2 linked regions of the Nothobranchius furzeri genome follow. The main gene of each other region encodes a partner of the protein of the gene in region 2 in a complex. Links are inferred from orthologs where the notes say so. Each region holds a gene or a part of one and is shown on either strand. Other genes may lie near its edges.

Region 1 (3,754 bases), on a different chromosome or scaffold from region 2:
CAGGTGCAGCTTCTTCTCCTCCTCCAGCTCGCGCTGCCTCTGCAGCTCGTGCTCTTTCTGACGGTGGTTGTAGTCGAACACCTCGCGCCTGGCTCCGAGATCGATGTCCTGCTTCCACAGGATGTCAATCAGGTCCATGTCCTGGAAAGACGGCCACAGATCACCTTAGAGAGTTGCGAGCTGCCGTGCCATCCTGCAGCGATGAGTGCCGGAACAACAACTGTGAAATCAGGCCGTCGTACCTGCCACACCCTGTCCTGTTTCTGCTCGCTGTCAGCAACGTGGTACAAAGCCCAAGTGGAAGAAGAGAATGAATTATAAATGTTGTTCTCTGTTTTCATTGTCGCCACCAAACACCCGACAGCGTCTTGATCTGATAGCCTTACCCATCTCATTACACTGAGGTGTGAGTTCTTTTGTCCCGCTCCAACTCTTCAATAATCAAGTGACCCTATCATTTTATGCGACCCTTTGAGTTTTCTAAACCAGTTTAAAGCCAAACGTTCGTTTGCAACTTGTACACTATGAAGACAGAAATAATTTTACACCATAAATTCAGATCAGAAACCAAACAACTATAAGAATCTTCTGAGTTTCCACTCACCACCATCATGCTTTGTGCTCTTTAAATGAAAAAACCCCAAAGTTGGTTGTTGTTTTACATTCTTCTTGGGTTTTTCTCTGTAGTTTATTTACAGAAGAAATCTGTTTCACAAGACCTCAGGATGTTGCATGAAACCAGACACCGGTCTGAGAAAAACCTTAGAAGCACGTGACATGTTTGTTCCTCAGATCGGTGAATAAAAACTACTTCTGATTGGTGGCTTTATCCTGAACTCTGGGCAAAAAAACCCACAAAAAGCAGAACAATGCAAAAACGAACGGGGTGTAACTATCTGATTAAAACGTATAGCGACAAACCACCATAGCAAACAGATGAGCTCCTATGTATTTTTGGACACTGTTGACACAATCTTTCCTGAATTTGTCTTTTCAAAATAAAAAGCCACTAACACCCCTTGCCTCAGTGTTGCATCAGAGTCATGACCGCCAAAGGATTACACGTTACTGAGCCTGCCTACGATAAATCACGCTCCCCGGCAGAAAGGTGAACATGCAACCAGAAATTATAGCATTTGGCAGAATGAGGAAGTCCTCAAAAAAAGTGTAGGTGGCATCTGAAAACACACCTGTGGTCGATGTTTTTCAAAGCTTAAAAAAAGAAACTGCGTTAGTCAGGCCTTAAATAGAAACTTCAAGTTCAGCACTTAAAATTCTCCTTTTGTGCACCACAGAAGTTTTATTTTAGTTAGATTCTCTTTTAGAGTAACCAGAAAATGCTAAAGTGTGGTGGCTTTTCTTTTGTAAGGTCAATGAGGATTTCACAAGACTCAGGTGGTCACGTGAACGAGGAAGCTTGGATTTCCCCTCGACAACATGCAGCCACACCAGTCAGACCACCATCCTTTCAGGTAAAGTTAAGACTAATGAAACGGGTCACCATAATGAGTATTTCACAACATTAAAGGCTGATCTGAACACGTGTATCATTTAAGATGGTTCTTTATTTAAAGGAAGTGAAAGGGGCCGATCTTTCCTTTGATCATTATTCTTTGGACATTCACCCTTGACCGAGAGTGGTGAAACACAGCAACACATGTTCCAAAACAGCCGCTTTAGGCTCTGATCTGTCATTTTTAAACACCCAAGCTCCCTTTGACAACATTCTTGCCTAAACACAGTAAAATAATTAACTAGTCAATTGAGAAAAGAGTTTTTGTGTTTTATGTAACAAAATCAGATTTAAAACAACAAAAATAGAAGCTACTATATGTTTTTTTTAAATATATAATAAAATGGTGGTTAGAAGATGGCCAGTATCAGATAAGGGATCACATGCCTGGGAGAGGAAGGGGGTGAGGAGGAAGAGGGAAAGGACGCGCATTCTTGTGAGAAAACAATTTTCTCCAGGTTTACCCACTTTTAAAGGCATGACACTTTGTATGGCCAAGGGGGAAAGAGCCAACGCCGGTTAAATCGTGCCACTGATATTTTATGTTATTCCTATTTTGATTTCCCTGCGAAGAAAAACGTTACATGACTTGCAGAACTGAAAGTTTTACATGAGTTACCGGTTTTATTTAAATGTTTTATCACAATAATTCCAAATTAAATAGTACAATCTGCCCCAACTTAGATATTTGATTTTAATTAAAAATACATAAGAAGGCCACCTAAAGTGTTATAACAGAGGACGTTGACAAGGTTTGTTCAAAGAAAGCTAATTAATCAAATATTGTTTACCTGTTGACTGGAATGCATCACCTCCATTTCCATCATCATGGAGATCTGTGCTGACGTAAATAAAACGCCTTATAGGTGAAAACTGGATGTATTATTAATCCACAAATGGCAGGTTAAAATGGCGAGCGGTCCGTAAGGCCAATACTGTCCGTGAGGGCGGCCGCAGCTGACTTTCGGGAAATATTTGCCTCCTCCGGAGCTCGAGAGCGTCACGGAACCGATGGCCCCGCCCACCAAGCTGCGGCTCCGGGATCGTCCCACTCACGGCGGCCTATGAGACAGGAGCATAAGACCCGCTGTGCGCATGCGCGCTATGCCAGCCTGCCTAAACCAGTCTATGGCCTAAACTCATAACTGTTTAACATACTGGTACCCAAGTAGTTATTACACAACTTACTTACACGTGTTTAAATTATCCTCAAATATCCACGTGAGCTTAATTTTATATCTAAAAAAGATATTTTGTGCTTAAATTGGCCTCTCCAAACATTGCAGCTGTTACCTATCAATGTTTTTGTTTCGTTTGGTAAACAGCGAGCCCTGCTGGTGGTTTGGGTGTGGGACTGGACGCCATGGCTTCTCCTGTCTCCTTGAGGTTATTTACTGACAACAGGAAAATTTCTATTAAAAAAAATTGTACATTTATTGAAAATGCCTCTTGGAGACATAAAGGCTGTTTTAAAAAGCACTTATTTATATGTGGTAACTTACTATTTTTGAATAGTACTAGCACATTTAAAGGTATTTGTATGGTATTTTGGCTACTTTCTAACAATTCCTAGATGTCACATTGCATCATACATTTGCATGTCTTCAGTAAAAAGTATGCAACTGATTCACTGCATAACAACAGGTTCTTTTTACAATTATGTCACATATAGTGGTCAAAATAATTAAAAGGTGAATTTTGATTATTTGTTTTCAAGTTTTGGTCATTGTGCTGTTACATCATCACGTAGTGTTTCTGATCTCCTTCAGCTTTTTGTTCCTTTCCTTTATTGTTTAATTGCAAAATATGAAAACTCAAGTGTCGTAAAATAATCTCAAAGAGATGCCTTCAAACAATAACTCAAGACCTGAGAGATACTTCATAGTTCAACCATGTGTGTGTTTTGTCGCTAAATAGGCTACTACTTTACGTGTCAAACTGTTGGGTTAGTTTTTATTCATCTAAATAAGTGGGGAAAGTTGCTTTTATGCCTATTAATAGCAATTAACTTGGTAATCTAAAAAATAGTTTCTTTCAAATTTGTCAAAGACAAAATAGTGTTGTTTTTCTATTGAGCTTGAGACTTTCATGTCTAAATATTTCATAAGTTTGCACTTGACAGAGAAAAAAACTGCCAAAGTTCAATGAAAAACTTTGATAGACCATCAGAATAAATGACAAAGAGCTTTTTGAAAAGTATAAGAAAGTCTGATTTCTTGGAAGAAAGATGAAAATGAGGAA
Region 2 (3,654 bases):
TATAATCGATTATTAAAATAGTTAACAACTTTTTTAGTCATCGATTAGTTGTTTAATAATCATATTTTACCGCATAAAGTCTATTTTTTACCACAATCTGACATCGGTTACAATCTGTTAAATTTGCCGCCAGTGTGTGGCAGTAATGAGCCACTGATCTACCAGTGGAGCCGTAGAAGAAGAAATGAGCCAATAAGTGCCCCCAGTTTTCATGACGTATCACGTTACTGACGCTCATCTTGCTGTGAGAGATGGCGGATCAACAAGAAATACGGAAGAAAAATAGAAGCGACAAAACAAGAGAAACCCCGGACAAAAACCTCACGAGAATGGGAGCACTTCACTAGATGCCTTGAAAAGACCGGTGACCTGCAAAATATGCAAAAACCATGGCACGACGGAAGCACGACGTCCCTAAGTGAACATTTGAGACGAAAACGTGGGGGCTGATGCAGCAGAGGAATGTCCGGTAAGTCACAGAAAATAAACAAGCTAACGCAGATCAAATTTGAGACTTAGTGATTTAGCTGAGTTCGTTATAGTGGATGTTAAACATGTTTTTTTTTTTTTTTTGCCGCGTCAGTTTACGGTGTTCTACTTCTGATTGACTAGATTCAATCGTGAATCTCCTCTGTGTTGTGAATCATGCGCTTGCCAAATTTAGCACGTCTGTTTATAAGACTGTTCTCGTTAAGAGAAAAACGGCACAAACCCATAACTGTGTTCCTCATTCAAAAAAGGACAACTCCGCGGAGAAAAATATACAGACGAGCTGTGTCCAGGTGAATATAACGCGGCATAGTTGTACGCTTTCAATTTTTAAATACAGGAGAAATTCAGAAAGTCCTTTTTTTAACTATTAAAAGGCTGTTTTACCGTCTAACACTGTAAAACGCCTCACAACACATTTTTGTCAAAATAAATTATCACTGTATATTGTTAATTAATTCAAATAATGTAATATTGATTTAGTGTTGTAGTGTGTGTGCTGTTTTATTTTATATGTGTACTTAATTCAGTTTATTTGTGTTTCTTATGCAGAAAAAAACAAGCAACGATGGACAACTACATGGGGAACAAGACACTCACCCCAGCAATGCATACCACTTACAAACTCTATTCTAGATTCTACATTATTTTTTTATGGAATTTACCTCTTATATTTTGATACCAAAAAATTATTCTGGACTGATATTTTGCACTGTTTAGCTCATTTTACACCACTGACTGTGTTCATGTGCAATAAAATAGATTGCAGTCAACTGCACAATTCTCTTATGTTTTTCTTTTTCTTAACTGAAATGTATTCATCACTTGTATAGGTTAAATAGCTAAACAATAACAAACTGATTAATCGATTAATCGAAAAAATAATCGACAGATTAATCGATTATGAAAATAATCGTTAGTTGCAGCCCTAGCTGCAGGACCACCTGAGGCAGAGCCACAGCTGTATTGTAGGTGGCTCAGTGACCATTCGTCACCTCAGAAGTACAGGTGATACCTCGTTTATCGTGGTAGATGCGTTCCAGACCTGAAAATCCGCGAAGTAGGGACACCATATTTACAGTACAGTACTATATTGAATGATCTATCGTATGATCACATTCTCTTTTTGTGGGTAAAACTCAAGAAAAATTTTTTTTACTTGGTTTTTTATAGTTTTATTACAAAAAGTGCATTTTATGATGAAATTGATGAAAAAAAAAACCAGGAATTTCTTGATATTTCGCATAGAAAAATACCGCAAATCGGTGAAAAATACAGCGAATTGGCGAATTTCCCTTGAATAAGGCTCCAAAGAAAAAATCCGCGAAGTCGTGAATCCGCGATAAACGAACCGCGAAGTAGCGAGGGATCACTGTATTTTTCATTGAAACAGCTTTTTTGTTAATGTTCTAAATAACCACTACTGGAACACTGGGATGACCCAACTCCTCAGCAGATTTAAGTCTTCTAGCTTTAAGGTGACTTAAGTGAAAATTGTACCTAATTTTTTAAATCACGTTCAAAACTCACGATTATTTATTCTGAAATAGGACGTTTCTGCCAGGCTTGACCCCTGGTGACACCAGAAGTTCCTGTTGCTGACACTCGTGCTCGTCAATAACCACAGAATCACATATGAGTACATGATGTAAACGTTAACTCATTCACTGCCAGCCGTTTCCTGATCAGAAAGCCCCGGACTGCCAGTGTTTTTGAGCGTTTTTACTGTTTTTTTTGAAGAGTCACAGACCATTGTGCTCTATGCTCATGTAAATACCAAAACTTCCTAAAGAAAGAGTGCTTACATCAGGAAGAATCCGTGTGTTTGTAGCGTTATCCGTTCATTCATAATCTGTTGTTGAATTGTGAGCAGCAGAAGCTTTTCCAGTTGGCGCCTCGCTTTTTTCACACCAGCGGCCCAAAACGATCTCCTGATTAACGGATTTTCTGTTTCCTGATCATGTGACATGTGATATAGACGGATGAAGATCAGCTTTAGAAACGGGATGTGTATTCTCACGTTGCAGAGGCTCATTCCCACGCTCGCCCAATAAAAAAATGCAATTGGCGACTTTAGTCGACTTCAGGTTGAGACCTCTCAGCTCCGTTTACAGCAGCTCAGGTGAAACGGTTAGAGGAAATCCACAGACAGTCATTATAGTTGTGGGACAAATGTCTCCATGTCTCTCCTTCCAGGTAGCAACCCAGGAGGAGTTCTTCAACCTGTCCCACTGCCAGTTGGTCAACCTCATCAGCCGCGATGAGCTCAATGTGCGGTGTGAGTCCGAAGTCTTCCAGGCATGTGTGGCCTGGGTGCGCTATGACCGGGAGAACCGGAGACCGTATGTCCAAGCCTTACTCCAGGCTGTCCGCTGCCACTCCCTCACCCCTAACTTCCTGCAGACCCAGCTCCAGTCCTTGGACTGGGACCCTCAGTGTAAAGACTACCTATCCCAAATCTTCCAGGACCTCACGCTCCACAAACCCACCAAAGCAATTCCTTGCAGGACGCCCATGGTGCCGCAGCTGATCTACACAGCGGGGGGTTACTTTCGTCAGTCTCTCAGCTACCTGGAGGCCTACAACCCCTGTACTGGAGCCTGGCTGAGGCTGGCAGACCTGCAGGTACCTCGCAGCGGCCTGGCAGCTTGTGTGATCAGTGGGCTTTTCTATGCTGTCGGGGGCAGGAACAACGCGCCAGACGGGAACATGGACTCCAGTGCTTTGGACTGCTACAATCCTATGAACAACTGCTGGCGTCCGTGTGCACCGATGAGCGTTCCCAGGAACCGGATCGGAGTCGGCGTTATCGACGGCATGGTTTACGCTGTTGGTGGTTCTCATGGGTGCATTCATCACAACAGTGTGGAAAGGTGAGCGATACGGCTACACCTCACAAACCACAGCTTACCTGGTTGTAGTTCCCAACAGCAGGCACACCTGAGCCACAGGTAGGATGTGATGTTAGGATTTAGTTGTCATTAGGCTCTGTGGTTTGCCTCGGTACAGACTTAGTTCTGGTCTGTTTCCTGGGTTAGGTCACCGTGTAATGGTAAGGTAAGGGATCAGATCATGATCTCATCTTCTTCAGGTTTGTTTTTCACAAGCTGCTACAAAAAATAATGAACAAAAGCTCAGGAACGTACAATAGTTACAGAATTTAAT

What was found. Proteins that work in one complex are often made in the same cells at the same time.
Region 1: the proteins of keap1b (region 2) and nfe2l2a are in contact, whole or in part, in a crystal structure (PDB 3WN7), measured with the Mus musculus proteins. The link is inferred for Nothobranchius furzeri from reciprocal best matches to the Homo sapiens genes KEAP1 and NFE2L2. Residues at the interface, in NP_001103775.1 of Mus musculus: Tyr334, Ser363, Gly364, Arg380, Asn382, Pro384, Asp385, Gly386, Asn387, Asn414, Arg415, Ser431, Gly433, Cys434, His436, Ile461, Phe478, Gly480, Arg483, Ser508, Gly509, Tyr525, Gln530, Ser555, Ala556, Tyr572, Phe577, Ser602, Gly603; in NP_035032.1 of Mus musculus: Leu19, Ile22, Leu23, Arg25, Gln26, Asp27, Ile28, Asp29, Leu30, Gly31, Val32, Val36, Phe37, Phe39.

The regions. Positions count from the first base shown.
Region 1 is NC_091754.1:21,645,502-21,649,255, forward strand, and holds the start of nfe2l2a (nuclear factor erythroid 2-related factor 2a), read right to left. Parts: upstream 2,487-3,754; 5' UTR 2,344-2,486; coding exon 2,305-2,343; intron 271-2,304; exon of another isoform or gene 243-270; intron 142-242; coding exon 1-141.
Region 2 is NC_091747.1:74,209,357-74,213,010, forward strand, and holds part of keap1b (kelch-like ECH-associated protein 1B), read left to right. Parts: intron 1-2,685; coding exon 2,686-3,362; intron 3,363-3,654. UniProt on the Homo sapiens protein: Substrate-specific adapter of a BCR (BTB-CUL3-RBX1) E3 ubiquitin ligase complex that regulates the response to oxidative stress by targeting NFE2L2/NRF2 for ubiquitination.